Linked DNA regions of Neodiprion lecontei. The protein of the gene in region 2 purifies or fractionates together with the protein of the main gene of each other region. This does not show direct contact. Links are inferred from orthologs where the notes say so. Each region holds a gene or a part of one and is shown on either strand. Other genes may lie near its edges. The genes, in order: ubiquilin-1, zinc finger MYM-type protein 3 and uncharacterized protein LOC107226935.

What was found.
Region 1: the proteins of zinc finger MYM-type protein 3 (region 2) and ubiquilin-1 purify together in Drosophila melanogaster (affinity purification with western blotting; 3 studies listed by BioGRID, with this or other methods). This does not show direct contact. The link is inferred for Neodiprion lecontei from reciprocal best matches to the Drosophila melanogaster genes woc and Ubqn.
Region 3: the proteins of zinc finger MYM-type protein 3 (region 2) and uncharacterized protein LOC107226935 purify together in Drosophila melanogaster (affinity purification with western blotting; 3 studies listed by BioGRID, with this or other methods). This does not show direct contact. The link is inferred for Neodiprion lecontei from reciprocal best matches to the Drosophila melanogaster genes woc and row.

What each region holds. Positions count from the first base shown.
Region 1 is NC_060262.1:19,800,635-19,811,331, reverse strand, and holds ubiquilin-1, read left to right. Parts: upstream 1-4,305; 5' UTR 4,306-4,371; coding exon 4,372-4,473; intron 4,474-4,597; coding exon 4,598-4,790; intron 4,791-5,353; coding exon 5,354-5,642; intron 5,643-5,999; coding exon 6,000-6,683; intron 6,684-6,851; coding exon 6,852-6,981; intron 6,982-7,235; coding exon 7,236-7,374; intron 7,375-7,519; coding exon 7,520-7,596; 3' UTR 7,597-8,480; downstream 8,481-10,697. Other genes in the region: protein SMG5, read left to right, coding at 1-219, 387-567, 928-2,698, 2,809-3,144, 3,263-3,330.
Region 2 is NC_060264.1:28,094,162-28,103,028, reverse strand, and holds the start of zinc finger MYM-type protein 3, read right to left. Parts: upstream 5,274-8,867; 5' UTR 5,059-5,273; intron 5,027-5,058; exon of another isoform or gene 4,748-5,026; intron 4,680-4,747; exon of another isoform or gene 4,581-4,679; intron 4,556-4,580; exon of another isoform or gene 4,537-4,555; intron 4,525-4,536; exon of another isoform or gene 4,276-4,524; 5' UTR 4,160-4,275; coding exon 1,694-4,159; intron 1,469-1,693; coding exon 1,115-1,468; intron 1,001-1,114; coding exon 162-1,000; intron 49-161; coding exon 1-48. Other genes in the region: synapse-associated protein of 47 kDa, read right to left, coding at 8,222-8,397.
Region 3 is NC_060262.1:1,989,304-2,001,476, forward strand, and holds uncharacterized protein LOC107226935, read right to left. Parts: upstream 8,247-12,173; 5' UTR 8,091-8,246; intron 7,975-8,090; 5' UTR 7,949-7,974; intron 7,913-7,948; exon of another isoform or gene 7,891-7,912; intron 7,561-7,890; 5' UTR 7,515-7,560; coding exon 7,374-7,514; intron 7,195-7,373; coding exon 7,106-7,194; intron 7,008-7,105; coding exon 6,947-7,007; intron 6,798-6,946; coding exon 6,671-6,797; intron 6,587-6,670; coding exon 6,522-6,586; intron 6,448-6,521; coding exon 6,379-6,447; intron 6,172-6,378; coding exon 6,108-6,171; intron 6,005-6,107; coding exon 5,825-6,004; intron 5,730-5,824; coding exon 5,559-5,729; intron 5,476-5,558; coding exon 4,985-5,475; intron 4,863-4,984; coding exon 4,412-4,862; intron 4,332-4,411; coding exon 3,940-4,331; intron 3,795-3,939; coding exon 3,563-3,794; intron 3,474-3,562; coding exon 3,304-3,473; intron 3,226-3,303; coding exon 3,027-3,225; intron 2,946-3,026; coding exon 2,735-2,945; intron 2,635-2,734; and 9 more. Other genes in the region: trimethyllysine dioxygenase, mitochondrial, read left to right, coding at 51-268, 332-556, 660-933; lysosomal acid phosphatase, read left to right, coding at 9,971-10,087, 10,358-10,453, 10,562-10,801, 10,873-11,049, 11,121-11,241, 11,322-11,533, 11,612-11,755.

The DNA.
Region 1 (10,697 bases), on a different chromosome or scaffold from region 2:
GTGTGCCATACGATTCATTCATCGTAGTTTAATATGTTTGGGAGATCTATCAAGGTATAAACTAGACCTAGATCCATGTTGGGACCCAAAAATTGCGACTAGATATTACAAGATGGCTATTCTGATAGATCCAAATATTGGGATGCCCCATAATCAACTGGGAACTATGTCTGGAAACAAAAATTTTGGACTTGATGCTGTTTATTATTATATGAGATGGTAAGTTGTTATTGAATAGAGATATACATATTTGTAGCAAATTACGCATCGAAAAGTCTGCATCGATAAAAATTCATGAGCCTGTGTTCAGAGGTGAAAAAGCCATGATTTGAAATTCGCAGTATTCATAAACCTTACTTTATTTAATCAAGTTTTCTTACACACAGCATGTTATGCTCGGAATCATTTGAGGGCGCAGAAGGTAATCTGAAAAGAATGATTGCAACCCATTCTTTCACGGGCAAGGAAGAAGATCAACTACATCGCTGTATTGCGCAACTCCTGTCGTTGCTACAACTTTGGAATTCCATCTCTCCAAACTCTGACAGCATAAATCAAGTTAGCCAAGTACGTATTGCAGTATAAACGCCCAGCAGCGGGGCTGAAATTTGTAACATCATTTGTATAAATTTGCACTGCTTAGTGAGAGCGAAACTATTGGAAGATGTATGCACTAAGTGCAGAATCCCTAGTTTTCAACCATTATAAATCCTATAAAACTAGGAAAAATGCAGTCACCAGACATGTTTTTGTAAGTCGAATTCGCCATATAATAGCGTTTTCAACTTGTTGCACCGAGTGCACATAGAGTGCATTTTTTCTAGTATTATGCCTTTGCTACTGTTTAAAACCTAGGAAAATTGCACCGAGCGCATACTGGATGCAGCCAGTTTAAAACTCCGTAAGCAATATATCAATTCTTTGCAGGAATTACTTGCCGAATTTGAAAATTGTCTCACACTTGAAACAACTGAATCAGACAGCAAGAAGGAAGAAGAAAGTAGCATTCAATTGTACCTACAAAGTTTTGCCGAGGATGAACCTTACCATCTAACTGACGAAATGGTGTTCAAAATCATGGTTATCTGTTTTATGACAATAATGAAACTCCAGAGTAAAGATTCGCCCGAAGTTCGCGGTGTAATCGCATTCACTTTGGCTATTTTATCCCAATTGCTACAAACTACTATTGAGAGATTACAAGAGTCAGTGATCAACATCTCTCTGCTAAACAGCGAAGAATATGTGACAAGTAATCCCCAATTTGTAAGAGAAAATGGAAATGACGAATTGAAGACTGATGATGTTCAAGATACAAACGGAATTAATATTGAAAATAAGCAGAGTTTACTAAACTGTGATAACAACTTTCTCGATATTAACGATAATCGCAAACACTTGGACAATATCGAAGAGACTTTTATCGATGTTGATGATCTATTGAATGGGGTCAAAAAGTCGAAAGACAAATCGAAGAGTTTATTGACCAAGCTTAGGCGTCCGCGAAGGCGCAAAAATAGTTCTGACTCTGATGCGAGTGACGCCGATGGTGCAACGATCGGATCTTCCAGCGATGAATTGAACTCTGATATTTCCGAAACTGAGGAGGATGCTTTGAGTGAGGAAATTATTTTGTCAGATGACGGTGTATCTGAAGATTTGAGTGACACCGAAGTTCCTCAAGTAACAAACAAGGAACAAGATTCTATTGTTGAAGATAAAACGAATGCTATAGGTGAGACAAACCCGACTTTGACAGATATTAAAGAAAGTATAAATACTCTGAACGCCAACATATCATCGAACAGTGTTAACGAGACAGTTTTAAAAGACGACAGAGATTCCACCACAAATTCTGGAAGCGCATTAACTGTAATAACGAACGTTGATTCAAACAGTGCTTATGATGAAAGTAATGGCTCAAGTAATACCATTGCCTATGTAGCTCAGTTGAAGAAGCAGAGTCTGGGTACTGCTGAAATAATGAATGTTCTGATGGGCGAAGGGATTTTGACATCAATCAAAATTTGCTTCGACTGGTTGATTGGTAACCCTGACATCGTGCAGTCATGCGCCAAAAGTTCAAGTACACTACTAAAAAGGATATCGACGTTATTGAATTTGATCAACATAAATGCGGATGCTTTGTTCAAAAATCCAGAGAACATCACATTATTCCAAAATCTCAATAGCCAAAACTTGAAGAAATCTGTTGAAGTAGTACCGCTTCCCGAAGATATTGAGCTAAAAGGCCTTAAAGTTTTTGATAACACGCAGAAGACGCTTAACTGGGAATCCCTAAAGAAATTTAGAATGAACAAAAGAGAAGAAACGCTACTAAGAATAATGAAATTAATCAAATTTGGTCATTTTCTATCTACTATAGAGGAGTCTGGCATATCATATGATGAAACTACACGACTCTTCGTTACCTCACATGTCGATAATTCCACAGCATCGAACATAGATAGCAGAAAAGAGAAGAAGGAATCTGAGGCAGATCATCCCCAGGGAAAACTAATGCGGCACATGGGGAGACTGTGGCTGAAAGCTGAAGTTAGAGCATTGGAAACCCGTTTACGGTCCAGATTAATGTCGCCATATCTTGTGCCTGACCATGAGGCTCTCTCGAAGCACATGCCAGCTCTGAAGCGTCTTGTTTATGCAAAGCGATTCATTGTGGTCATACCTTCCGTGGGTAAGAATATAACAAACAATTATCTAATCCACGATATATCAACAATGCTACTTTAACTATATCTTAAAAATTGTCATGAAGATTCAAAACTTTCGTTTGTTAATTTTCAGTTGTTTCTGCGTTGGATGAGGTCAAGCGTACGAGCAGTAGAGCTAGGGAAGCAACTAGGTGGCTAGAAGCTCAATTGCGACGTGGTTCGAGATTTTTACGCGCTCAAAGACCGCACGAACGACTTCCAATTCCCCTAGTCAAAGGGCCCAGACCAAAGGATAAGGAGGCATGGCTTTACTTTCAAATAATTGAATGCTGTCACTACCTGACAAACCAGACGAAAGTTAGTCTTACGAGTGAAGGAGAAGCCCCTGTAGTTACGTTACTAACTGGATGCAGCGCAGATGAACAAAAAACTGCAAATTTCAGTCCAGTTGGACTTGCCAAAAGTGCAGGTAAGCATTTCAATTTCTGATTCGTGATTGGTGGACATTATCAAATTCACTGAACTTAGCGAATTGAATCGAGCAATATTATCTTATTATTGAAACTGGAATAATATTTTGTTTGCAGGAGTGAACCTCGAGCATATAGAATCGTTTCACACAAAATGGAAGGCGTCCAGTAAGAGTCACGGTTGAAGGCGAATGGCCGATGAGAGAACAGTGTCTGTAATTCTCGTATATCACAACGACAGCCGCGGGATTCATCCGCCAGTAATAGAACCGCGCATCAAAGGGCGAACGTATCGGCGAGTGCTAGTGGGGTTGGAAACCCGCAACGAATATCACCCACTATATTTCCTTACATTTGAAATAATGCGGATAACTTAATCATTTCGCATTGTATATTTCTAAATTCAAAAACAACCATGATATATTATTTTTCTCTTAATTAATCGCATTCTCCTAAGTTACATTATAGAAATTATATTTTCTATGTCCGTATTTCCGAATAAAAATAAATTCATATTAGTAATACCTTATGATTACATTTTGTAGAATATGAAACGGTCATCTGCATCGCAAGTTTAAATATAAGAAATCCACACTCGTTACCATATTTGAAAGCATTAAAAAGGCTACTTCCTATAGGTTTTTCATTTGTTGCTCAACTGTTAACGCTAGAAATTGTTATTTTTCATCATTTTAGTGGCCATTACTTATAAGCGTGTGAAATCAGACAACGTACTGAAAAAGTATAACAGAATTTACATGTTATTGTATATGTATTAAGACGAATGAGTAGTCTCTGATATCAAATAATTGAATAAAATCACATTATGTATCTGGCTCAGCGTTGAAATTTATGATGATCCTTCATTCAAGTTTTACGAAATATGAAAATTTCTGCGTACCGGTTTAACTTTTAAAAAAAAATCACAAAATTGAAAGTAAAAACATTCGATTTGTAAGTCAGTTGATAGAAGATGGTTTATTTTTTCAGATTTGTATCTGGCTCAGCTGGGAAGAATGGTGAACTGAACGCCTCCGGAGAAACACGAAGTATGTAATTGCATGAAGGGCGTTGAATCTAGGGAGTTTTTGGAACGCTTGAAAGAATGTACCAGATCAACGAGTGAAGCGCCCGTCGAAGGCTGCGGCAGAGTTCCAACCCGGTCCTTTTCCCTACGTGCGAAAATCGAAAGCATCCCAAAGTAACGAGTCATCTACCACTCAAAGATGGCAGAAAGCCAGGAGAGTCAGAAGAAAATTACAATTAATATTAAAACGCCAAAGGAGAAACAGAGCGTGGAAATAGAAGAAAATGCATCAATCAAAGACGTAAGTGTTGGTCACGTGCAGCGTAGCTTGCGAACCTCGCGACCGTTGTCCGACTAGTTTACTCGCACGATGATTTTGCTTCGCTAATTCATAATATATATTCCCGAACGATGGTGATATGCAGTTCAAAGATGCGGTTTCCAAGAAATTCAATGCCCAGCCCGATCAGATCTGCCTTATATTTGCCGGGAAAATCATGAAGGACCACGAGACACTTGCCACACACAACGTCAAGGATGGTTTGACCGTCCACTTGGTCATCAAGGCTCCCCGGGCACCCGCCACCCAGACGGAAGCTCCGCCACCCCGGCCCCCCGGTAAGCAACTCGCGTGCGTCGCTGTCAATCATGAGTAGAGATCAACTCAGGGTGTGGAATCCATTAAGGTCCATATACCTAATTTATCCTCATCATTCATTCCTGGTTGACAGACTTGTCACCCACGGTGCATGTGTCCCCATAAACTGCTAGTAATCTTGTGCCATGAGTTATCAACCACAGACGTGTAGCTGTCAGCTGTTATCGCAGAATTTCCTTTCCACACCCACGGAGTTGGCGTTGTGTGCCAATCAACATGCAAAACAATCCAGTTTAAATCATCTTTTGACCTATTTTCAGCTAAATTAAGCTTTCTTATCTAAAAGAGATTGCCATAATGCAAATATTCACCAAATATTCAAATATGTTTCCTGAACAGCTGATGAAACACCAGCACCAGTTTTCTAATTTGAGATCTTCTCATTTCTTCCACTATAATTTCTAATTCATCTTCCTTTTCGTCCCTTTCTCTGTTTCTATTTTTTTTGTTCTCATAGTCCTCTCACGTACCATAAGCTTGTGCCAGTGTAATTTTTTTTAGTGATGGTGTTTCTGCTTTCCAGCCGACGTTAACGCCAGTCCCTTTGGCCTAGGAGGTCTGGGGGGACTTCCTGGCCTTGAAAGCCTTGGATTGGGCTCGGGCAATTTTATGGAATTGCAGCAACGCATGCAGCGTGAATTGTTGTCTAGTCCTGATATGATGCGGCAGGTGCTTGACAATCCGTTGGTGCAAAGCTTGATGAACGATCCTGAAAACATGCGAAACTTGGTCACATCTAATCCTCAAATGCAGGAATTAATGCAGCGCAACCCGGAGATAAGCCACATGCTCAATAACCCAGAACTTTTAAGGTAAGTTGCTTACATGGTTTTATAAATTGCCATCATTGGCAAGAGGTAAATGATGCTTTCAGCTCCTTTTCGATCCCACTCTGGTTCAATTGTGATGCACAATAAGTTTTCTTGTATTACATGTATTTTGTTCCATACTTTAAAGTCAATGAGTTTATGTGATACCAATAATTTCCGAATGTAATCTTTTCTAATCAACTGGTATTTTGACACTTTTCGGTATCGAAAATCAGTGAAGATGTATATGAATCATGTTGTGACTTTGCAGCTAATCACTTAAACAAGATCTTAGTTTTCTTTCATTTTTCCAAGATATTTTGCCATCTACCAGTTTTGTACTCATATCATATTTCTCAGACAAACCATGGAATTGGCGCGAAATCCGTCAATGCTACAAGAGCTGATGCGCTCTCACGATCGAGCACTCTCCAACCTGGAAAGTATCCCTGGTGGTTACAGCGCATTACGACGAATGTATAGAGACATTCAGGAGCCCATGCTCGCTGCCGCAGCCAATGAACGCAATCCATTTGCGGCTCTAGTCGAATCCAGTCAACCCATTGATGCAGCAAATCCTCAGCAGGGGCAGGAGAATCGTGACCCCTTGCCAAACCCTTGGAGTCAGGGTCAAACGGCACCAGTGGGTCAAGAACAGGGACAGGGGCCAGGGCAGGGGACCAATCCAAATCCCATGAGAGAAGGCATTTTGAGTTCACCTGGAATGCAGAGTTTGACCGCACAGATGATGGAGAATCCGCAGTTGATGCAAAACATGTTGAATGCACCATACACTCGTGCCATGCTCGAGGCAATGAGTGCAGATCCCGCCATGGCCTCCAGAATGATATCGGCGAATCCACTGTTTCGAAGGAATCCTCAAATGCAGGAGCAGATGCGAGCTATGATGCCAGCCTTTTTGCGACAGATGCAAAACCCCCACATTCAGAGTGTTGTTGGTAATCCAGAAGCCCTCGCTGCTATTCGACAAATACAACAGGGCATGGAACAACTTCGTACTGTCGCCCCTGAACTTGTAGACAAGTGAGTGTCTTGTCCATACAGGGTTGCTGTAAGCCTAACATGTTGCTAAGTTTGAAATTGTCAAAAGATTGAATTCTCAGAACTATAACTTATGACAACCCTGAGTTATCAATATTTTTCCAAATTTCCATTTAAAGACGTGCAATGTATTGTTTATTATCGTCATAGCATGGGTCTAAGTGTTCCACCGGTACCCACCACTCCTACGTCTGGTGCCACAGTACAAACCCCGACTACAGGTCCGCAAACAGACGCTGATCAACAGGGCGCAGCATTTTCCCAATTCATGGCTCGTATGGTAATTGTGAACACATTTTCTTTACTCAGTATACAAAATCTATACGGTCCGTTATGTATAATCTTGCAAATCAACCATGCATACGCACTTATACAAACATATCAAGTGTTTTCTTCGCCTTGCAAAAGCATTGATTTTATTCAGTTAGGTTACACAGTATGGAAATGAAATCGACTCGTTCCCAATGGCGTATGGATACATTATAGATGTAGTCAATTAAGCCCTAACAACCAACTGTGGTATAATTCAAACAGGTATCATCAATGGCGCTAAATCAAGGTGCGGATGGAGTTGCTGGAGGTCAGCAGCTTCCCCCTCCTGAAGAACGATATAGAGCACAGCTCGAGCAACTTACTGCAATGGGTTTTGTAAACAGGGACGCCAACCTTCAAGGTAATTAACTCGACAGAATACGTACTTATAGTTTCAAATCAGATTTGACCATGTGTAACATGGAAGATTGAAAAAAAGAGTAGATAATTCGGGTATCATTGCAGCGCTTTTGAATGTAGTTTGAATATTAATTATTTGATTTCAGCGCTAATCGCAACATTTGGAGACATAAACGCAGCTGTTGAGAGACTACTGGCAAACGGACAACTGTCTATGAGCTAACCACCAATCTGTAACCTGAACATTTCCATTATGATACCTAGTTTACCTTCTTTACACCTGTTTGATCGCAGGCAGACACCCGGCAATTTCGACAAGAAAAATTATGAACCCTCAGTCCTGACTCTTAGCAGGATAATACACGCTCTAATGACTCATTTGATGTGCATTTTTATTATTTTAATGTCGGATCGGTGCCCGTTCGATGTGGTTTACCAAATATGTGGCCATTTGGAACAAGTTCCGCGCGACGACGACATTAGGTTTGGATCGATTCTTGTCGTCTTATTTTCTCGTTCGTGTATTATTTGATGTGCTATAAAAGCTATATAATTGTAACAATATATTTTTTCAGTGCAAAATTATTTACAATGATTTAGAAATATTATATTATATATTATTACATTATTATAATAATATGAGCTGTTCGATTTGTCTAATTGTAGCATACGAAAGGCATTAGGCATTGTGTTTTCTCAATTACAAATTCATAGATTTGTAGCAAAGTCATTGTTGGATGAAGATATAAAGGACCTATGTAATAGGCCTGAAAATAGACAACACGTGTTCGCATTGAAAAAGCCATTTACAAATTATTCCGCATTGTATGAAAAGTGGATGCATTCAAGTGAAACCTAATTATCAGCTAGTTTTTAAGTTGAAAAGGTGAAAGTTGTAAATTATCATTATCAAACGGAAAAAAAACCAAAAAGACGAAAAATATGATCATTTTACCTCCCATGATTGACATATTACTACCGAATGAATATGCGTACACATTTATCGTATAGGTGTTTATTAGTCTGGCTCACTCAAGTGAGACATTCTGTAAAAGCTATTATATATGAAATAAAAATGTGGTTGATTAATAATAATAATAATGATGATAACAGTGATCATATAATATTGATAGTAATAATAGGATCGATAAATTATTTAATCTCAACTATCTATTCCAATTTTCCCTCCTCAACTCTGCAATAAAGAGGGATAGCCTTTCATTATCAATGAAAGTGCAGACTGAACGAATTGATCAAGTCAACATTTTATAGATTTCGAATTGAAACATTGCCAATAACTGATTTTCTCCGGACGAATGTTTTCAATCCGAAATTGTTGAAATTTTGAATTGATAAATTTGTTTTATTTTATTGATATAAAACTGCCAATTATATCCTTGTGAAATACCAAAGCTAACGAATATTTGTTTCCTCAACCGTGTGTGCGTTATTGATACAGAATTATTCAAGATGGTTATTCCGTTTTTTTTTTTAGTTCAAACTGCTGTTTATTTTCACCTCATTTTGATATTTATTGTGCATTATTAGCATGGGTTTGATACGAATAGCACTTTCCAAGTCTCGTATAAAAATTTAGCAAAAACATTTAGTCTCTGGAATTAGATTCTACGGGATTTCCGTTACAGGATTTAGTTTTACTTGACCGTTACGCTCTTACATAATCTAGATTCTCAATGGAATTAACGGGATGAAACTTTTTCGCAGTGAAGCTCGAACGCAGCTGAGAATTTGGAAGCTGGATTTGAGAACATTCGATAATTGATAACATAAACAGAATTTTTGCAGTCCCATTGAAAATTCTAGAAGACATTTTTTTTCAAAGTTTGTAATATGACAGCTGCATTTCTAACCACAAGTCACAAAAGCTTAATTTTTATCGGATTCGTTACAACCGGTATTTTATGCTCGTCGATTATGCAAGGCTGATTCTTTCTACATACTGTAATATGTACGTTCGTAAAGGAACACGCCAGAGCTGAAGCATGTTCCCATGTTCAAAATGACTGTGGTATTCTTTTTCGAATGACTTTTTGATCGATGACTGCAAATCCATCGGAAAATTACTACTCTTGCGATCATTGCGGTAATGTGAATACTGTAGCAGCACAGTCTATCTCATCTCATCATAGCATCGGTCACTGCATTGTGATAAATGATATAAGATCAGAAATGACTGTGTCTTGTTTTTCTTTGACGTACAAAAAGTAAAGTCATTGATTTTGATTGATATATAAAAACTAAATTAGCATCTAAAAACATTTGATTTGCTATTGATTACTAGTGTTCCAGTGTCTAATGCAATAATCTCAACAGAATGATATTAAGAATTGCCAATTACTCAAAACCCTGGCGAAGGGTACGACTAACCAGAATGGACAAACCGTACTACGAATCATTGAAAAATTCATTACTTCATTCTAAATTATTTTCATTAATTTCAACCAAGATCGAAGAATGGTCACATTAATCGTTTCGCTTCGGCGTGAAGTTTGTCAATATTTTTGTGTCGCACTTCAAATCAACAGTGATCTAACGCTACTCTGAAATGTCATCGATAATTGACGCCTGAACGAAGCGAAGGATTTCTACAGAATAAAGATAGAATCGATGGAAGCCTGAATGAAACTGTGATAACGTGTGTTATATTTCCCTACAGAGGTCTATCCTTGGCTGTGAATACAGGCGGCGATAAATTACGAGCAACAAAACACAGCCGACCGACGGCTGCCCTTCCCTTCTCGTCTTGACGTACAATCAAGTCACCGATCTACAGAGATCGGTGAATCAAGTCAATGGAAATACCGATCGAGTAACGACGGTAGCGGTGCGCCAGGGGCGAAACCGTTGAAGATCGCTGATCGCGCGGCGACCGTTGGAGGATCGAAAAAGGACCAATGAGAGGTCGGGCGGTGCCGCAGCGCCTCCAGTCGTTCCTCGCGAGTGCCGCGTTACCGCAGTTGCCGCCAGTCGGGCAGTCGTAGTTGATCTTCGTTGCGTCTGCGTACCTGACTCGGTGTCCCCGTGGCTCGAAATCGGTTTTAGAATCGTGTTTAAATCCCGACGATAATCCACCGACCGATGCGACGGACAGCGTCGCGTTAAGGTTCCGGAATCAGGACCGTTTAGCGGCGAGGAGCGAGCTGACAGGGCAGGGAGAAAAGACGCGGTTAACCAGCGTCGGTGTTGACTACTATCGGGGGAATATCCGAGTTCCGTTGGGTCGCATCTCATCTCCGAGTTTAACACACGCGCGTCGAATTGCACTTTAAGAATGTGCGAGGGTGAGGTTGTGACCAAGGGAAT
Region 2 (8,867 bases):
CTGAAACCATCGCTAGTCGAGTTGGCAGGTACATCGGCTACGTCGTCTCTGTGGGGATAAAGATTGTCATATTAAAATAAAACGAACGTAAAAACCAAGCTGCAGAATTTTTTGTTTCATAACTTCAATAATCATGCAATGCGCCCATCAGAAAAACGCACCTGTTATCGTCCTCGGAATCTGAATCACTCTCGTTGCGTTTTTTCTCAGTTGCAACCATTTCCGCCATCATCAGTAGCTCTGCCTCAAACGGATCTGCGGGTATCTTCTCCTGTATTCTCTTTATCTCCTTGAATATGCCTTTGGCGCTATTTCTAGTAGTGGGAATAAATATTGGAACTGGAATGGGTAGAGGAAATGGAAAAGGTACGGGAAATGGCATGCTGTACATGTGCATCGGAAACGGAACGTAAATAGGAACAGGGATTGGTATCAAAATCTGTGGTGTGTCATCGGTTTGCGTTGACTTTGTGCAGGGGTGAGGTCGGACAGAAACGCCCTTTGTGTGCATCAGCGGCTTGCATTGGGTTACTTTGTTGTGGACCTTTGTTGGACTAGCAGGTCTACTTATGATTTGTTGCGTGTAAAGGACTTGAGGTGGCTGACTCTGGACAGAGACATTTGTGCCTATATTGTTGGTCTGGTTCTGCTGTGTAGTCGGGCTGCAAGTTTGCCCGTTTGCAATTGAGGCAAGACTTGTAACAGAGGAAATAATTGGCAAGCTTTTGGTCTGAAGGTCAGGTGGCTGCTTTTGACTAGGTTGTACAACCGATCGCTGCTGGGCGATTGATCTTTTAGGATTTCCAGTTGGTACCGGATCGTCGCTGGATGGAATGGTGATCGGAGATTTCGTGTACTGGCTTTGAAAGTTCATCACGCATTTGTAGGAGCAGAAATTTCGTATTGTTGCGTCTGACATCGTGAGATGGTATTGAGCTTGTGAAAACTCTTTACAAAAGTCACAGTTTATTCTCCTTGCGGATACAGCGTTAATGGAAACCTGAAAAGTAAACACGATTTGCAGAATTTAGTATTAGTTTGATTAAATTTCAAATTCGTCTACAAAATTTGTTCGGTATTAGGTCTCAATTGAGATAATCTTTGGTCTACTTACTTGATAAAGGGTGAGACAATTCAAACTGCACATCATCATTAATTGTCCAGATTTAAGTTCCTTCTTTATCATATCGAAATTGTACTTCTTAACTTTGCACCAGTTGCACGGTACAATTTTTCTGTTAGTTATTATGAAAACGTTGAGGCATGTCTTGTTACAGAACATGTGCGCCTCTCCTTCATAGAAGACAACAAAATTCTTTTTACTCAACAACTGGAAGAATTTTTTACACGTCGAACATTGATCTGGGTCAACCTTGTTCACAAATTTAAATGCTGCAAAACAAGGATCACTGCATATGGCTGCTGGAGTCCCTCCATCAATTTGTACTTCGCAGTGGACAATTTTTTCCTACAAAAAAGTAGTGAAGAGGGTTATAAATATACATATACATGTAACGAAGTACGTGTCTTTTTCATCTCTGAAGATGTAGGACTTGATCAAAGAGCAAAAGTCAATCTATACTCTTCCAACCAAGTAAGCAAATCTAAAGTTGCTCTCTTCAGAACAGATCTACATTCTGGGGACTTATTGTTGGCCTCGACTAGACTATGAATGGTAAAAAGTAAATCTCACCAGTTGGCAAACACTGCAAGACTTTTTCACTGATGCCGGAGGTTCACTGGAGCTCATTCTGGAATATTTCTCCATGCAATCCTGAGTGCAGAAGTCTTTAAACTGTCCTTTATCCCCCACAGGAGCTAAAAATCCTTCTGTACCAGAACTGATATCCTTCTGACAGTAGCTGCATACCTTTAATCCTTTTTTGAATTCCTCTAAGCATGTTGAGCAGCAGAACTGTCTGACGTCATACCCAAAGCGTACACAGTACTTTCCTAGGCTGACCGCCTGGACGGAGCCATTGCAATTCCTACAATAGCTTCCGTATTTGGTTTGGAATTTGCCCAGGCATTCCTCATTGCAGAATTCCATTGTCTCCCAGGAAAGATTTTTCTCGTCATTCGCATCGACGATCAAGAGACACCCTGCGCATCTCTTTTCCCGTTTTGAGTTAACTCCATCGCTCGGAATATCGGTTGCTTTGTTATTAGCTGCCTTAAATGAATTCCTACATTCCTTTGAGCAAACATTGAAGCACTCTGTGCCTATCTTCACCTTTATTTTGCACGACTGCTCTTTATTGCATTGTTTACACTTCTCTTTCTGCTTACTTCCCTCAGACTCTGAATTTTGTGGATCGTCATCTAGGTTTATAACATCAGCAGAAGAAGGCTTGCCACCCTTCGACTTAACGGTCACAATTCTTCCCTTCTTGGGAACCAACTGTCCAGATATCGCCTTGGTTACAACCGGTTTTTTCACAATAGTCAGACTTTGATCGTCATCCATAATTTTTTCCGAATCTACCGCATTGTTCTCTACCGATTCTTCCTCCGGCTTTTTCTGACTCTCTACGCCTTCGCTAGTCTTCTCTGCTGTTCCTCCAGGCAAAATGACCTTCATACTATCAGGAATAATACATAGTTCATCATCCTGCCCAGGAAGAACATCAGATGATATGTCTTCGGCCCCTAAAGGTGGAAGGCTCGCCTTAGCCAAAAGTTTCTCTCCTTCTTTACCATCTTTTTGGATCTCATCATCTCCGGGGCTTTCTTTTCCTTCAGCTGCTTCTCCAGTATCTCGTTCTTCAACAGCCTCTTTGTTGTTCTCCTCCGATTTGTCCTCACTCTCAATCGAAGGAGTCGTAACTAACTTCTGCACTTTTACAATTTCGTCAACAGTTTTATCGGAAATAACATCTGCCACAGAGTCACCACTGTCAGCTTTACTCAGTATTTCATTGCTCAAATCATCTTTAGATTTGTCTGGCTGAAAGTTGTCCTTAGCTTTAACTACATCCTGGAGGTTATCAGCCTGGTCTCCAAGCTTCTGAAGGTCAGCAATTTCCCCATCAAGATTATCAGCCTCCATATGATCGTCGTCTGGATGTTCCGAGTTCTCATTGTCACCGCCGAATGGATCTTCCGCATTATCTATGGACTGATTTTCTATGTGAGACTCGTCATGCTTATCCTCTTGCGATATTTGCACAAACTCTGTATTCTCAGGCTCTATGACAGACACATTCTTTTCTACCAGTGCATCTTTCTCCTGGCCATCGAGACTAGATTCTGAATTTAACGAGTCAAATTTTTTTGTATCATATTCCACAGCACTTTCACTAGCTTCAGGTTTTTTCTCAGCCTCGACACCCCCGCCAACTTTCAAATTCCAAAGTGATTCTTCAGGCTCAGATACCTTTTGTTTTGTTATATCTACCTCTACACACTTTTCAGAATTAGGTTCTTTTTCCATCTCTGGATCATCAGCACAAGTATCTAAAGCCTTTTCTACATCAGAATGGTCAGATTTTTGAGGGGATGGAGGTTTTGAACTATCCTCTATATTGTCCATACACTTTTTGGAGTCAGGTTTTTCTTCCATCGCTGTGTCGTCAGCACAAGTATCTAAAGCCTTTTCTACGTCAGGATTATCTGATTTTTCAGGAGACTGTAGTTTTGAACTCTCCTCTACTGTGTCCAAGTTTCTCTTCTCTGGCTTTGAAGGTTTTTCTAAATTTGGAGAGTTGCAAACTATAGTAGATTCTTCTGCCTCAGAGGTTGGATTTTCACTCACACTTGTCATAGATACATCAGTATCTTTCCATTCCGAGTCAAGAGGATTTAAGCTAAGGGAATTTTCGTTAGATTCAACATTCTTGTGGAACGCTAGGTCAGTTACAGTAGATGACTTAATCACTCTATTGTCTTCTATCGAGTCAACTAGCTTAGGAACAGACGCTGTATCTGCATCAGATTTGGGAGTATCTTCTAGATTTGTCTCACAGCTTTTAGGGGGTACGGGGTCTTCGTTTTTATCGTCAACCACTGCTAGAGTTGTTTCCAAGCCTGTAAGACCATCTTTTTCGGGTGTTTCGGCATTTTCATCCATTACATATGCCCCGGCTTCTGGTTGAGCTTCCGTAGAACTAGGAACAATCGAGTCGTCAGTCGCTGAGACGGCTTCTGTGTCTTGCTCCATGATTATGATTTCGCACGCTTTTTGTTTTGCACTTTGATGTGTATTTTAACAATGACTCAAGCCTCATTAGCGGGAAGCTTCGGTAAGATTATTCCATCGTACATCTTCCCAAAAATCTGTAATGAAAAATTAGTCTTATATTGAAATCGGCTTGAAATTTGTCAACAAATAACAATAAGAGAAATTGGTTAAGTTTTTAGAGGTTAGGTTCGAGATCGACTTGCGTTAACACCGCCATGTTGTATTTATTATTTTTAGCGAAAAAAATAGAGCTGATAGTTGGTAAGGAAGGTTATACAAGACGCATTTTTAACCCTTGTTATTAAAAAGAGAATGAATTTATTCTCTGTCAACAATTGTAAGGGGAAGGTGTATACTTGTTTGCTTGAATGATAAACAACTATACAAACGAATCACGCACCAATTACGCGACTGAAACACCCTAGACTCGGTTTCTCGTGCGTAGAAAAGTTTTTAACCAAACTGTTTGATGTGATTTAATGATATACGCATACATGCACAACGACGCTGCAGGTTTCGGCGAGAAACGCCGCACAGGTAATTCGTGGTATTTTCTTCTTTACTCACTTTTTAGTCATATGTAATTCACGTGCCTTCGCATTCAATCCTGGTCAGAGGGTTTGGAGCCAATATCATTCACTGATTGTTGGGATTTTTTCCTTTTTAATAAATAAAATGCACAAATTCCAACCCCGTTCAACTGACACTTTACACACGTATTTTTTAAGGCTTTGTTTGTGTGCTACCCCATCCAAACATAGGCGGCATGATAGATGGCGCTACCAGCCCGGGAATCACAAGGCTCACAAAGAATATCAAATTCTCATCATTAATTAACATCAAATTGCGTGAAATATTATTTCAATTGAGAAACATACCTGAAAATGTGACAATAAACTCCCGTGAGGGTGAGATTTAATGGCTTCAATCAACGCTCGTTTCAGCATCTTGTATGTGCGTTATTTTATGGCGAATTCGATTTACAGAAAAAATGCACACTCGATGCAGATTTCTAGCTTTTTCGTTGGCTCAAGGCTCGGGAATATATACTCAGTGCGCATTTTTTCTGCGAGCCAAATTCGCCATTAGAAACATTAGTAGGGATTTTGACTGGCTGCGCCGCGGACGTTTTCCCTAGGTTTCCACCGTTGCTATTGGTTGGAAACTAGGGAAATCGCACTCAAGGCAAACAGTGTAGCCAGTTCAAAACGCTACGGTCGCATGATGAGAATTACGTGTGAATGAAATTTAATATTGATTATTGTACAAAGATTTGATAAATTTGTTACAATTTTCCCCGTGGATTGTTAGTAAAAAAAAGACAGTATGCCAGCGAGTCTCATTGTCAGAGCAAATTTCGGCTAAACGTTATGATAAGGATAGGGCAGTGTGCATATCTTGATGTGAGATTGTCCATGGTGACGCCACACAATCAAAATTATTGTATACGCGATGTAACAAGTGAAAATAATTATTTCATACTTATTTTCCTCATGAATAGTATATCCTCTTGCGAAATGCGGAAACGACAAATTTAAGAATAATCCGTCGATATCAAGGAATGCATCGAAGTATAAAAATAGCTTCGATTGAATAACAATCACCTAGTTTGAACAAGATGCAAGATTTGAATACATAGCGTGCGAAGTATGCGAATGAAAACAGAAATAAAACTGATTCATTGATTTTCATATTTTTTTCACAAGGTACACGACCTCTGTGATTACATTATCGTAGCTCTATATATATATATATAGGTATGTATGTATGTATTATTTAATAATTTCTTTATTTTTTTCAAATATTTAATGGTTGAATTTGTATCGTATTTTTATTAGTTTATAATATAATATAGGTATATATTATATATCATACTTTCAATAGAATCAACAGCATATATATGTTGAACATTACTAGCAGAGATCTTCGTCGGACTAGGCGTTTCACTAGATATATATATATATATACATACACATATATATACCTACAGCCTTTCGATATTGCCGCTAGATATATGGCCTTTGAATTTTCCCGCTAGATATAGGTATATATGTATATATAATGTATGTTCGTATTTTTATATTTATATATATAATATTTAAATTTATATATTATTATAATCGGGTGTATGTTCATTATTTATGAGTGATAATTATAATTTATGTACTTCTTCCAAATTTTCTGCGTCGTAGAACATTCATCGTGAATATCGATTCAATATTATTTATACCAGTATGTATATATTATATATATATAATATAAGGAGTCAATAATTTTCTATCTCATCCGAAATTGATATAAGTACGTACATACATATTGCTATGATTTGAATTGCGAACGAATTCAAGGTAATCAACAAATCAATAAATTGATTAATAACAATATTGATTATAACTACAATTATCGTGTAAATAAACTCACCAAATAATCTGTATGTGTATATTATTATTATTATTGTTATTATTATATTCAACACAGGTACAATATAATTAATTTTTTTTCATAACTGATAATTATTATAGACATTTTCAAAATCTCTCGCTGAGAATGCATATACATATAATAATGTTATACGTATAGTTATATATATAACGTTAAATGAAATCAGCTTATATATTAATTAAATATCTCATTTTGTTTTTTCAACTCTTAAACTTCTAACTTTTCAACCAGGCTTAGGCCTCGCAATCGGTCGCATTTGACCAACGACTAACTGGACAAATTTAATATTGGCAATTTAATATCTACCGTAGGCTATACATAGGAAAGTAAAAAGTGAAACTTGGATCTGAATTCAGACCCCACTTCACAAATGCAATAAAAAGCAGCCGGTTATTACCATTCTCTTGTAATAACATTGAGCTAGCAAACCTGATCAGATCTCGCTTATAATTCAAGAATACAGAGATTAAATGCGCAAAGAAATTAACGTCATGGTAACCTGCGCTGGACCATTTTGCAAAGAAAACACATAACCAGGTATTATATTTTGGTGGGGGTGCTGCTGCTGGTATTATTGAAAATTATCGCCATTGATTTTCATTTCATCTTCCGTATTTCATTACTCGTGTGTTTCAAAATTAATCGATGCTTCTTCGAATACAGATAAGGATGAACGAGGGGCGAGTTGAATAATACGTGAGGCTTTGTGAAATTCGAGAGAAATTTGTGAAACATTGTCGTTGGAGAAATATTTAAAGAGTACAGAAAAGTACCCACGCTATGATCAACATTCAGAAAAGTAAACAGAATTTTTACAACAGTTTTCACAGAGTTCCATCAAATGTCTCTTGAGATTTCAAAACACACTACCTGTAATTCAAAGTAATCCATCCGGTAATATATGTATAAATACGTGAATATACAATTTTAGGCCATATTTCATTCTTGGCTTTCAAAAATACGCTTAGCTCAAATCAATAGCAAATAGGCACCGATACTCGTTAATTAGTACCAAGCGTTTCCGAAAACTCTCCTTACCATATATTCGCGTTTCTCACGTTGAAATTCAAACCAATGATCGATTATTCATGGAACTAATGAACGAGCCATTTTTTTTTCATCGTTGACTGACGTAAACGCGACTGCATTTTTTATTTATCGTATCTTCATTCGAATGGTAGTTGGTGGTGGCTGGAACTGGAGGGAGGAGGGAGGAAGGGGATGGGATTGGTGGGGGTGGATACGAAGTTACACCCCTGGAGAAAAGCACCGTTGCGACAAAATCGAGCCCTTCTATCGCGAGGGCATAATATCGTTTCATTTACCGCGATGAACTGCAGTGTATCTCGTAGCTGAAACCTAACTTGTGAAACAAGTATGAAAAACGATAATTCGTTACTTTCTTCCATTCCTTATTTTCTCTCTTTCTTTCGTTGGTTGATTTTGTTGTTTTTGCTTTTTTATTTTGTTTCTTTTTTTTTTCCAAACCACTCGTTCTTATTTATTGCGTATGAATGGATGAAGGAATAATAAGGTAAGTGAAGAAGCGTCGAGGTCAATTTACTGGGCAGAGATGATCCTCGTCGATGACTAGGCAGTTCACTTGAGATCATCCTCTTCGCCGAGCAACTCGTCGATTTGTTCCTCCCAGTCGTCCTTCCCCAATGTACCATCTTTCAAAGATCCAGTTCCTCCGCTCGTCGTTGTTTTCTCCTGTCCAGGTACGACCTCGAAGTCACGAAGCTCCGCTTCCAATTCTCGTTCCCATTCTTCTTCTGCGGAGAGTCACACAACAAGCAGCGTGTAGATTTTAGCAGATTCCCCGGTCATTGGGTGAATTTTTTTTTTATTGTATTTGAATCCAAAGATTTGTTTTTGTGTTTTTTTTTTTCTTTCTTTATTTCCGGGCTCTCTTCCGCAATGCTTTGATCTTTTGACTCAATAACGTCGGGCACAGGATTAAAAAATAAACATACAAAAAAAAAAAAAAAAAAGATCAAGGAAATCTTGAGAAAAAAAAAATAAGAAAGAAAGAAAGAAAGAAAGAAAACTCAACGGACAATGTGTAATAACGAATAAGCGATGAAAATAAGAAAAGCAACGTAGCATTTTGGATTTTGCAGTTCCATGATCGATTGCTCTTAATGAGATCATACTTGATCATTAGATGCAAAATACAAATTGTCGACGAAAGCGTGAAAGAGTTTGTAACGTGAATTAAAAGCAGATCGGGGTGATGGGATTA
Region 3 (12,173 bases), on a different chromosome or scaffold from region 2:
CATCCGTTTCATTATCTTCTGTGAATGACGAGGCTGAACGCTTTTTTCAGGTAGAAGCTACTCTCGCCGTTACCGAAAAATTGATAACCAGAATGGCGCCTGTACAAAAAACTTTTTTCGGCGAAATGTGGGAAGTTCATAACGAGGAAATTGCCGATGCCAGTGAAGTCGCATCGGAGACCGACATAAAGCCGCACTATGACACTGCATACACAAGCATCGCCCTTGGTGCTCATACAGACAATACTTACTGGTGCGACGCTGCAGGGTAAGTAAGAGGTGTTTTGAAATTTTTTAAACATCCCACAGACAACGAGCTTTCAAATTTCAGCCTGCAAGTTTTTCATGGTCTGGAGCCTGCGAGAATCGGAGGAGAAACGCTCCTCGTAGATGGCCTGAACGTTAGTATGCAGCTGAAACAGAGGTATCCGGAATCTTACGAGAGACTGACGCGGATGCCGGTTTCTGCGACCTATGTGGAAGAAGGTCAGCACCATACGCACGTGGATCCGATCCTGAAACTCCACCCCGTCACTAGGGAGCTTTTGCAAATCAGGTTGGCTGGTCTCTTAGAATTTTCCATTCTTGTATCGAGAGGGAGCAGCGAAATGAAGTAAAAATAAATCAAATTAAATAAAAATATCAAATCCCTATCACAGATTTAATCTCTACGATCGTTCTGTGCTGAGAACTCTTCCTCGTGATCAGATACAGCAACACTATAACGATCTGCGCCTCATAGCTGCTATTGTGGCCGACAAAGAGGGGGAAACCCGCGTGAAACTTTCGCCTGGAGAAGTAATTTTCATTGACAACTGGAGAGTAATGCATGGCCGGACCGCGTATTCTGGTTCCAGACTACTTGCTGGTGGTTACGTGTCACGTACCGATTGGCGAAGTAGAGCTGCAGTCATGGGTCTGCTTGATAATTGAAGGTATGCACGAGTGTGTATGATCAATTAATTTTCAACAGATGAGCAAGCGAATTAACTGAGAAATCAGCCCACTACGTAATGATACGACAAATTTTTTCTATTAATTTTTATCCAATGTCCAACGGAAATATAACGTGTGTGGTAGAAAAGAAAGACTTATTAGGATTAATCGTAACATACTTATCGATACATTGTCAAATTTATCCTTAGTACTTGCTATCGGTAGTATGTTCGAAAACGTTGGGTCTCGCATAGGTAATTCTAGAATGATCTTGAGTATCGAAAATTTTTATAATATGTTTCGATACATCGCGCCGAACGACGTTTGCAAAATTTTTCTACCGTATGTAATAATATAGTCTCTAATTTTCAATGTCTGTGAAAAAATTACAAGAAATTATACAATTGGGAAACAAATCAGAACAGTTATTATACATGGCATCACGCTTTGGAAACTTCTCTTATTCAGTGAAGCTTGTCGTGCTTGGCTAATCTGTAACTCGTAAAAGAAAAGGTGCAAACGCAAACGATTACGAACGGTATTAACGAAGCTTAAAGTCGTTCAAAACTCAGTTTTATTTTCATACTTATTGTTAGTTAATCGAAATACCGTAAAATTAACGTAAACACTATTCACGAAGTCTACCGGTTTTACCGAGAAATTTGCTAGACTCAATTTTCACGTCCCTTAAAATCCTCACTTCACAATATTTGAGATCTCGACATCAGACTTTTTTTTTCTTTCCAGATGATGGCAAGAGTCTGTCCTCAACGATCTCTGGCAAATTGTCTTCTAGGGAAGGTTCGAACCTTGTTGATGTAGAGGTAGACGCTTTTGCCCGACGACCATTAATGCCAGTAGTAGAATTCAATTCCATATTTGTTCTTACGGTAATATCAGGCATCGCTAAATCTCCGTCAGTTTTTTCACAAGTCAATGGCTGAACAGAATTCTCCTCGTCGTTGTGTCGGTTTTCCATTCTGTCAATCCTGGGTGGCTTTTGATGAAGACTGTTTGTACCTTCCAGGTCCTTAAAAACCACAACATTTACATGTACCTCATAATAATTAGTCCTTTCATATTTTTGAATTTTTTTATATCTGAAGAATTTTTGCTTTGCTTCAGCAAAAAGCTAATTTTAAATGAAGTAGATCAAATTTTGCCAGATTTAACGAATACTGTTTATTTTATTCTATATTTATATCCAGTAGTGGTTAAACAGCACATAAGGATAATGGAAAAAAAAATTGAAACGGAACTTGTTTCCCTGCATCATTTAACATTTTGCAATATTACAACACCCATACGTCTTGAATATTTTTGGGAACCAATCCCAAACTGTCTAACATTCCAGTCGCCTCGGAATCCTCGGTAGGGTAAGCTGATATCCTTTTACATTTGATCAAATGCGTCGCTGCAAAAGAACCGAAAGATGTTATCAGAATATAAAATTGGATATAAAAAATGATCTCAAACCAGTAGTAAATGAATGAATATACGTTAATACCTAATTGGTTTCCATCAACCGACGAAAAACCGCAAGGACACTGCATTTTATTTTCCAAGGGTATGTTCAGCAGTGGTGAAAGTACTGCTAAGCCGGTCAGTGGTCTAGCATTGTGAAACTGTTGCTGATGTTCCTTGAAAGCTCGCCAACAGCACGTCGAGTATTTGCAGTGCAAGCATTTCTGTTCACCGCTGTAAATTATTAAGTATTACACCATACGGTCATATAACAATCGAAGCAATCATTGTACGAAATTAGTTCTACGACCAAAAAACCGACGGGTAATCTTACGGGTAATGTTCAAGCTCATCTATGTCCTCCTCGCACTCCTGACAAGCCAACTTAGGTGGAGCAAGAATTCTAATCGGTCCTTCGGACCATGTCTTCACGTTCTCAGTGTTGGGTAATTCCTGTATAGGACTATCTATTTCGATACGTTTCACTGGGTTACGTGGTCTCGGTATCATTATACCGTTTTCAGTTGCGATGTACGGAATAATTTCTGTAAAAATTTACGAATACGGTAATTTAGACTGTAATTATTAATCAGATATTATTGATTCTCACGCAGTTCTCAACTTACTAGGGCTAGACAGGAAAATGTGCAACTCTTTCTGATGCGTTATCAGCGCACTTTTTTGGTTGAACCAAAGACAGCATCGCCGACATTTGTTACCCCTCCCTTCTTCACGCCTCAATGAATGCCTCTGCATGTGCAATAAGTAGGCATGAACAACTGGTAGAAGAGTGCCTGAATTACCGTCCGTGCAGAACTGAATCACCTGTTTAACGCGCGAATTTTAGTTATTACACAGAATTGGTAATGACTGGGTAAAAGTCAAATGCACCGTTCTTCTTACCTTGAGACAATAAGGACACATCAGACCATCCCCTTTCTCATGGATTTTATAGTAATGATCGATGACATCTTTATGACTAGATGAACGATAACCACAGGTCTCGCATCGGTATGGCATTTCCGACGGATAATGAGTAGCTGCCATGTGATTAGCCAGTAGCGTACCAATCACTGAAAAGAAAATTAACGGTACAGCAGTCTTATCTGCCTTAATGTTGACTAAAATAATACAAGGTACTCACAATTGAGCATCGACTCACCAAACTTTTCTTCGCAAATAGCGCATACCACCATGTCACCGTTGGCACTTCGCCCCATTGTGCTGTGCGCTTCGCTAACGTGCGTTGTCATTTGATGCTTGGACGAGAATACAGCGCAGCAATACCTACAGACCGGGGATTCCTTTTGTCCAGGTACTTGTGGCCTTACATGGGTCACCATGTGCTCCATAACTTCTGTATTCGATCGCATTATCGTAGTGCACAGAAAACACTGCACATTATAATACAGAGTGTATCTTAAATGAATGTTACACATCTATCTTTCAATTACTTATTGATATCATAGAAAATTCTGTGCCCACTTTTATTTAGTTTTACAAGTGGAAATTCCCGCGAAAATATTGTCGCTAGCTCACCTTCATGTTTATGGAACTTTTACGCTCATCTAAAAGCCTGTTCTTGTCACCCTCCATTGTGGCATAGTAGTACTCCTGAAGTTGTATGTTGTCGCCGCCCTTGTTTTCCCTGTCTCTAAATCTCAGTTCAGGCGTCGATCTTTTCACTTCAGGCTCGGGACTCGTGCCTTTAGAAGCTATGAGTCTTTTTCGGTTTCGTTTAGGCCCCGGTTTATTGTTGTTTCTAGTCAAGTCAACCTGTGTTATAGTCTGAATAATTTCCGCGTTGTTTGATACTGGCTCCTTTGGGATCGAGACCATTGGAGCCAGCTGCGGCGGAGCCAGGTTTGAATAAGACCAATCCTGGAATGGATTTGCTGCAATCTTAGCCAAACGATCTAGTAAACAGTCAGCTGAAAATTACAGATATTGATAGTCAACTTGGAGGTATATAAGACTGCTTTTTCGTTCTCATCCAAAGAATCCAACTTACGAGAATCAATTCTAGTCTGCTCCGCTATGTGGATTATTATATTGTCAAATGCACGAGCTGCTGTTTTACCAAACATTTCACGCCAGACAAGGTCGTCTAGGAATTGTTGTATCATTTGTCTACTAAGAAGACTTAGCGTGTTTTGAAACATTCTTGGTACGATTTTTCTCAGGTATTCCATAATGTGGTAATTACTGAATGTGTTCCTGGGATTTTGTTCAGAAAACGCTGACTGCATCACATTGTGAAATCCCATTTCCTGGAGGGTAGATTTGTCGACTGTGTAATCAGTAAGTATTTTGGATTCTTTGTGGACCCAGTCTCGAAGCGGATTTAATATATTGTGAAACCTTCGTTTGAAGGACCTGTCGCCGTCATGAACAGGGTCACAAGCGCGCAGTCGAATTTCCTGCGTTTCCAAATTCAAGATACCCAATACTTCTACTTTGACCTGTTGAACGAGAGATTAAACATATGAGTTCATCTACAAAATGAATAATATCAAAGATTGAAAAGATACGCAACATACTTACCTGTAATGAGCACAAGTCGATACATAGAATAAAAATTTACCTGTCTCAAATTTCCATCTTGCGATGTAGTTCCAAGGCTGATAACTCCGACTTGAACCATAGAATTTTTGCCACCCATTTTACAACTTTTATCCCACACAGCAGCTGTGCAAATGCTGCGAAGATTGGTGTAAAAATTTTTTACATAAACGTTAGATACTTTTACCCAAGAGACGACGTTCTGCACGTTTGTTTGACAAGCCCAGTGATAAATTAACTTTAGTAAAACAGTTGGAGTGTGCGGAGCTCCTTGAAATATCGAGCCAGAGAATACTGAGACAAAACGATCCGGGCAACAGCTCGATATCCACACGTAACCACCAGAGTAGGGAAATGTACCAGAATCACTGTACATTCCAAGTTTCAATTTAGTCTTTTGATAGTTACTACTGTGCAGGTTGCAGTACTGCTCCGATCGCACTAAACCCTGCTGTATTAGCCATTCGGCAAATTTTGTTGCTGAATACATCAAGACGCTCTTAACTTTAACATCTGAAAACAAGATTCGCCATTAACAGGGGTGTTAATCGTGTACAATTAAACGTTTGTTTTTGTTAAAACACCTCGGTACCGACCCAGTTCCGTTCTCTCTGCTTGCGCAAGCTGTGGCGCGATATCTTTTGTGCAAAGGTTTGGCCGGGCAACAACAACCAACGAGGGAAAAGTCCTACCGCCGTTCATTTTATTGAACGTTATCTCTCTGCCATCTGGCAGGTTGCGCTTCGATTCTTCGATCTGTTCACCGCCTGAAATAATTATGGATTTAAATATTTAGTGCAGCAGATGAAAATGATCTCAGTCACATCAAACTTATAAGGATAAATCGAGACTCTATACTCACTTGCATTTTTGTTACCCACAGATATACCACCTATGCTAGTGTGTTCTGTTGGTCTTACAATGATTGGGGCAGGTTTCTGTTGTGGTTGTTGCTGCTGCTGCTGCTGCTGTTGCTGTTGCTGTTTAGGAACCGTTTTTATCCTCAGATTTGTCACCCCCTGAGGGCTCGTCGTTGCTGGAACAGATGATTTAATTCTATTGATCAAAACCAGAGGTACGAACAGCAACATTCATCATTATTTCTACCCAAATGTAACTGCATTTAACATCAGATTGCAACTTACTAGGAGTAACGACGTGTGTAGGGGTGCCGGTTTTTCCTCTGGTTCTGGAAACTGGAGTAGGAAGCTGAAATTGGTAACAGAGTTACAAGTATTCATATGCAATATGCACTTCTTTTGCATTCCCAGTCTGAGACCAAACTTTTGTTGACTAAATCAAATTCCAATTTTTGGCACGTCAAATTTAGGGGTAAAAAAATAAACGACATTGTGAACAGCACAGGAAATAATACCCAAAACGCCACCGTTCAAGTGAATTTCAGTTTTCACTCACTTCTTCCATGATATCAGGCTGCTGCACTTGGAGCACTTTTGTTCTACGGCCAGATCTCGTGTACTTGTACTGGATTAACAGAAACAACAATTATGAGCCTGATTTTTGATATACGGAACACATAGATGCATCGATCTACGTACGTTTTCATTGGTTGATTGCGAAGACACTACCGGTGAAGGAGTTGCTTGCGTGGTTGGTGGGGTAGCTAGAAAACGACATAGTGTTAGTTTCACAATTGTCCCAGGAACATTGAGTGGTTGAAAATAATTTTAAAATACAGTTTGCCTACATTGCTGCTGTGTAACTGCTCCCAATATAACACCCATCCGTGGATCCATCACAAGCTGGATATTTCCCTGATTTCCAGGTGGGTTGCTTAACATGTTCAACTTTATAGGCTGCGATTTTGCCTGGTTCTAGAAATAACATCAGCAATGAGTATAATACATAAACTGAATCTTAAATAGCTCCTGAATCTGAGTTTCGCACTTGGAAAGTTTATCATTGGCAATTAAATATGCCAAAATGATGAATCAATTGAATTATTCAACAAAGTGAAACTTACTGGATTCAACAACGAAGACTGGCTAGGTTTGACGATTGCTGGCTGTGGAGCATTTCCTGGCCTGTGGAAAAAGTTCAGGGTAATAAGTAGAGAGTGATGCTCACTATTACTAAAAACATTGGATTTTTAACAGCTGGTTAATTGCTTTAAGATACTTACAATGTGTACTGATACCCTTGGACAGCACCTGCTTGACAGAGTAGCTGACCACCACGTTCTTTGATCACTTCTTCGAGTGTTCCTGCAACCTTAAGAAACATTTAAATATAAAACACCTTTATTAACAGTACATGCTGTTGCTGTATTGAAACACTTTACCAGGAATGCCAAAGTTGTGGCAATTTCCCTTGCCTGAGTTTTTAGTTTTCAAGTTTCTCACTCTATTTAACAGAATATACACAAATTACTTCACGCACGAGTTCTTTACCTTATCATAATTTTCTTTCAGCTTTGCATTGTGCGCAAGCTGAGATTCGCTGAGAGGCTCCTCAGAGCAGTCCAAGTTAAGCGTCATGCTGATAGGCCTGGTATGGGTCACAGATCGAGTAATTAACCGTCCTTTCGGCATTGTTAAATTGGTTTACCAACCAGTTCAGGTATCCTCGATCTGAAAACTACAAAGTGATGTTAAAAAGGTTTTCAAAAATGTGTCGCTCCTGAATAGCGGATAGCGATGGTCAACGGGTAGCGGAGTATGTTACATCCATTACATACATTCAACTAAAAAATAGGAGAATATGTGAGAAGCAAAAAAATTGAAAATCATTAAAGAAAAGATTGTAGATTTAGTATTGTAGGTGCAGTAAAATTATGTTGATAATGAATGAGCCTAATTTATTATGGTTACATTAGTGTTTTTATAATAATATGTGTGGGAGTGAGAATTGTATTGTTTAGAAAAAAAATATTCTGAATGATACATTGATGAGGTAATTTTGAATTACAGTTTGTTTAAATAAAAGCTTTGAGGTTGTCCCGTCTGCGGGTAAGCAATTCTATTACCTGTATCAAAAACATCGGTTTGTCCGCTACAGTTGCGGCATTGGTAAAACGATAAATTTTGATGTAAATAAAATATAGGTTACGGGACGATATTGAAAATCCTACGGTTAATCAAATGTGATTCAATATAATTTCAGCCTACCTTCACTATTCCTTGGCAAAATACACACTGCAATTTTATCGAGTTTGAATCATTATCACCGCGGGAATATCTTTATCAAATAACAAAAATCACACAGCGCAACACCGCAACAGCGGTGTAGTCGCGACCACGTTAAGATGGCGGTTCTCGCGCGTCTCCGCGGTGGATACTCTCTGTACTATAGAAAACTAAAAAGAGAAGGCAGAAATAAACGAATGAGCTCGGTGCGACTGTGGTGGAGATTACTTTTGAAAGAGGCGGTATATGTGACCGTTAAATGCCACGTTCCTGTACTATAGAAAACTAAAAATAGAAGGTAAAAATAAACGAATGAAACCAAGCACGACTGTGATGGAATTTATTTTTGAAACACGCGGTATATAATGTGACTCAATGCCACGTCTCCGTATGATTGGAAAATGTCCTCATGACGTCAGAGCCTATAACTATAGGCGCCATTTTATCATCACATAACCTAAGTTTTTAATTTTAATCGAGGCAAATCGTAATTCTTAGGGTTTCAAATTACTCATGACACATACGTTTAGGAAACATAATCAATAATATACCTATTCTAATGTGGACATGCGAAAAAACACAGACAACAGTCAGCTGTCAGCTGGTTGCATTAGTTCAATTTCTTTCCATCAGATGACGATTTGCAAAGAGTGATAATCTCAATGGAAACGATGGAAACCTTAAAAGAGAAGGTAGAAATAAACAAATGAGATCGAGTACGACAGTGATGAAATTTATTTTTCAAACACACGTTATATGTAATCGCTAAATGTGAAGTCTCTGTACTATGAAGAACTAAGAAGAGAACGTAGAAATAAACGAATGAGATCAAGTACGACAGTGATGGAATTTATTTTTGAAACACGCGGTATACAATGGGATTGCTAAATGCCATGTACCGAGATAATTCTACGCCCATTAAAATTCCAAGATGTCAATGGACGATGCAGTCTGATGCGTTGAAAACATTTTTACGCAACGATAATGAAATAAAACTTATTCAGTTCAGGGAATAAAATTGTACACGTCGTTTTCACTGTTGTTGTCTTTTTATTCATTAAAATTAAAGATATCAAATTTTCCTCAATGTCGTTGCGCTTGCTATTTTTCAGACTGATTGAACAACTAGTTCTTTACACATTCTGAAATCTCTCATCGTATCATAATCGTAAAACACACGATAATTGAATTTTACTAACTTGTACAATAATTATTTCAATAATTTTGCAACAAAAATATTGCAGTTATAAATTGTAGGCGGATGCTGGATTTAAATTACAGTCTTGAATATCCTTACAAGTAACACCATAGTTCGATTTGCAATGCACCATAGTTCATGCGAATCATGATACATGAAATTCCGCTTTACTGCTTCTTTGCCTTATTATATGGAATATGCGTAAACTGGAACGCTTTTAAGCGTGGATTTTGTAAAGATATTTAATATCTAGAAATTTAGACTAACTACCCACTTATCAACAAAATTACGCAAACGAATCAAACATATAAGTTTTAATTATATCAATAAATCGTTCAGTTATGGCAACATCGCCAGTAAGATAACACTATAATACCTACGATGATAATGAACCCTGAGTTTTACTGAACTTGAATTCACGCATTTACTTTAATTTGATAACGAGCCCTGAGGTCAGTATCGTCAGAACTGTGAACTTGAAAACGTGTAAGATCTTAAATTGGACTACGGCATGAGTTAAATAGATACCAGTTGCAAAATGAATACGGACGGAGTACAATACAGAAAATTTATCTTTATCTAGACATTGCTTATCCCAATTACAAATTGTCATTAACACTATCCTAGGAACTATTTTATTAAGTACGGGTCAGAACCCTTCAAAATGCGTGATTCCTCAGCCGTTTTTAGAGTGGCTATTGCCTTCGTTCTCCTAACTTTTCACTGCGCTGCCTCTACTTCACCATCCCACGAACAAAAGAGCCTGCAACAAGTTGTTATCGTAAGCAAATTGCACGAATATATAGCCATGTGTAATAGTTTTTTCTTATCTTTCCCCTAGTGAAAATGTCCCATGGAATCCATTTGGTTCCTTCCAATTTCCGATGGGATCCTATAGGAATCCGGCAAATCCGTAGGAACTTGGAACGTATTTGGATGGATTCTGTGGATTTACTATAGAAATTGTCAATAGTGTTAAAGAACTGCGAATCTCCAAAAAGCCATCATTCTGGTAATGGTATACTAGCTAATTGTGCTACATACGTTGCAGGTATTTCGACATGGCGACAGAGCTCCCATTGATGTTTATCCGAATGATCCTTATGCTGATTATCCATGGCCTAGCGGAAAGGGAGGATTGACTAAGGTTGGTTGTTAATTTATAAGTAGCAGAAGAGAAGTTTAATTCGGTTTAAAAGCTCGTATCTATGTAACAGTACAAACTAACTTTTCGTACAAATTTCGTATGCACCAGAAAGGAATGCTTCAGTTGTACACTCTGGGGCAACGGATACGAGAAATGTACGGATCGTTGATCGACGACGAGTATCACAGCAACGAAATTCTGGTACGTAGCAGCCATTTGGACAGAGCCATCATGTCCGCGCAATCGCTTTTAGCAGGACTTTATTTGCCGAAACCTGAAGACCAGTTCATACCAGGTTTACTTTGGCGTCCAGTTACGGTGCAGACGATACCGCAGGGTTCGGACAAGGTTGGTGAAAATGTTCTGGAAAAATTTACCATCGCAAAACTGTCCATCGATTATTTAGCGTTTTTCATCAGTTGATCGTGATGGACGTGCCGTGTCCGCGCTTTGAGAATGAATCTGCTCATTTCATTTCGGAGTTAGACGCAAGCTATAACGACCCAGTTCTCTTCAACATACTGTCAAAGGGTACCGGCATGAAGATAACATCTTTAAAAAGTGTTTTGTATCTTCGCGACATATTTCAATGTCAGGTAAGATGCTTGAGTCAAGTGATAGAATTTGAAGAATTTATTCACATGGGGCATGTCTCGAAATCATCTAGGAATTGAATGGATTACCATTGCCAGACTGGGCTACAAACTTCTTGAGGAACCAAACCATAAAGGCATCCGTATACTTTGATGCGCATATGAACAGTTTAGTCCAGAAGCGGCTCAGAGGCGGTAAGTGCGAAAATTTTTCGTACAAATTTCTGGTATTGCACCACTCATGGCACCTACAACCAAGAATTCTATTTAAGTAGGACCCTTGTTGAAGGAAATTTTACAAAATATGTGGATGAGTAAGAACGGAACCAACGAACGCAAAATGCACCTTTACGCTGCTCACGATTATACGCTTGTGTATACTTCGAGGCTCTTAGGATTCAACGAAAGACACATTGAGCCGGCATACGGTGCGTGTTTTATCTTTGAATTGCACACAGTGGACGGTGGACGAGATCACAGAGTCAAGGTTAGTTAATACGATGCTTTATTATACTTACGGCTTATGTATTTGTATGTTAAAATATTCAACGAGTTTCTGATCCAGATATCATTCCTGAATACTACGGAAACAACTATTCCGCACCCCTTGAACGTGCCCGGATGTGGAACTTCCTGTTCGCTGGAGACGTTATCAAGAATTTTGAATCCAGTGCTGCCTGAGAACTGGGATAACGAGTGCATGACATAACAAGGCCGCCGATTTCGAAATATTCATATACGCATGTAATGCACAATTGTTGTAGACTGAATTTTTCAAATACGTTTTCATACTATAAGATAATAGGTACTCGATGTTGCATGATCATAAACCTATTTATAATAAGTTTAATTTCGAAAAATGTGACATATTATACGAAACTAAGAAATTTGCTGAGAAAGCATACAAATGAAAAATAAAAGAGACGCTACATCCTAGACATTGAAAAGCTGTCAAGAATGGCTAGGATAATACAAAGAATATCGGATAAGGTTGTGAGTTTGACTGTTCTGCTAATGACGACTCTGGACTGCGCCCGATCGATTTCTCTCGCAAAATTACGTCGAAATAGTGCCAGAAAGAATTTATTCCGGCACTTTTCAGAATCGCGAAAATTTTCGCCAAAAAT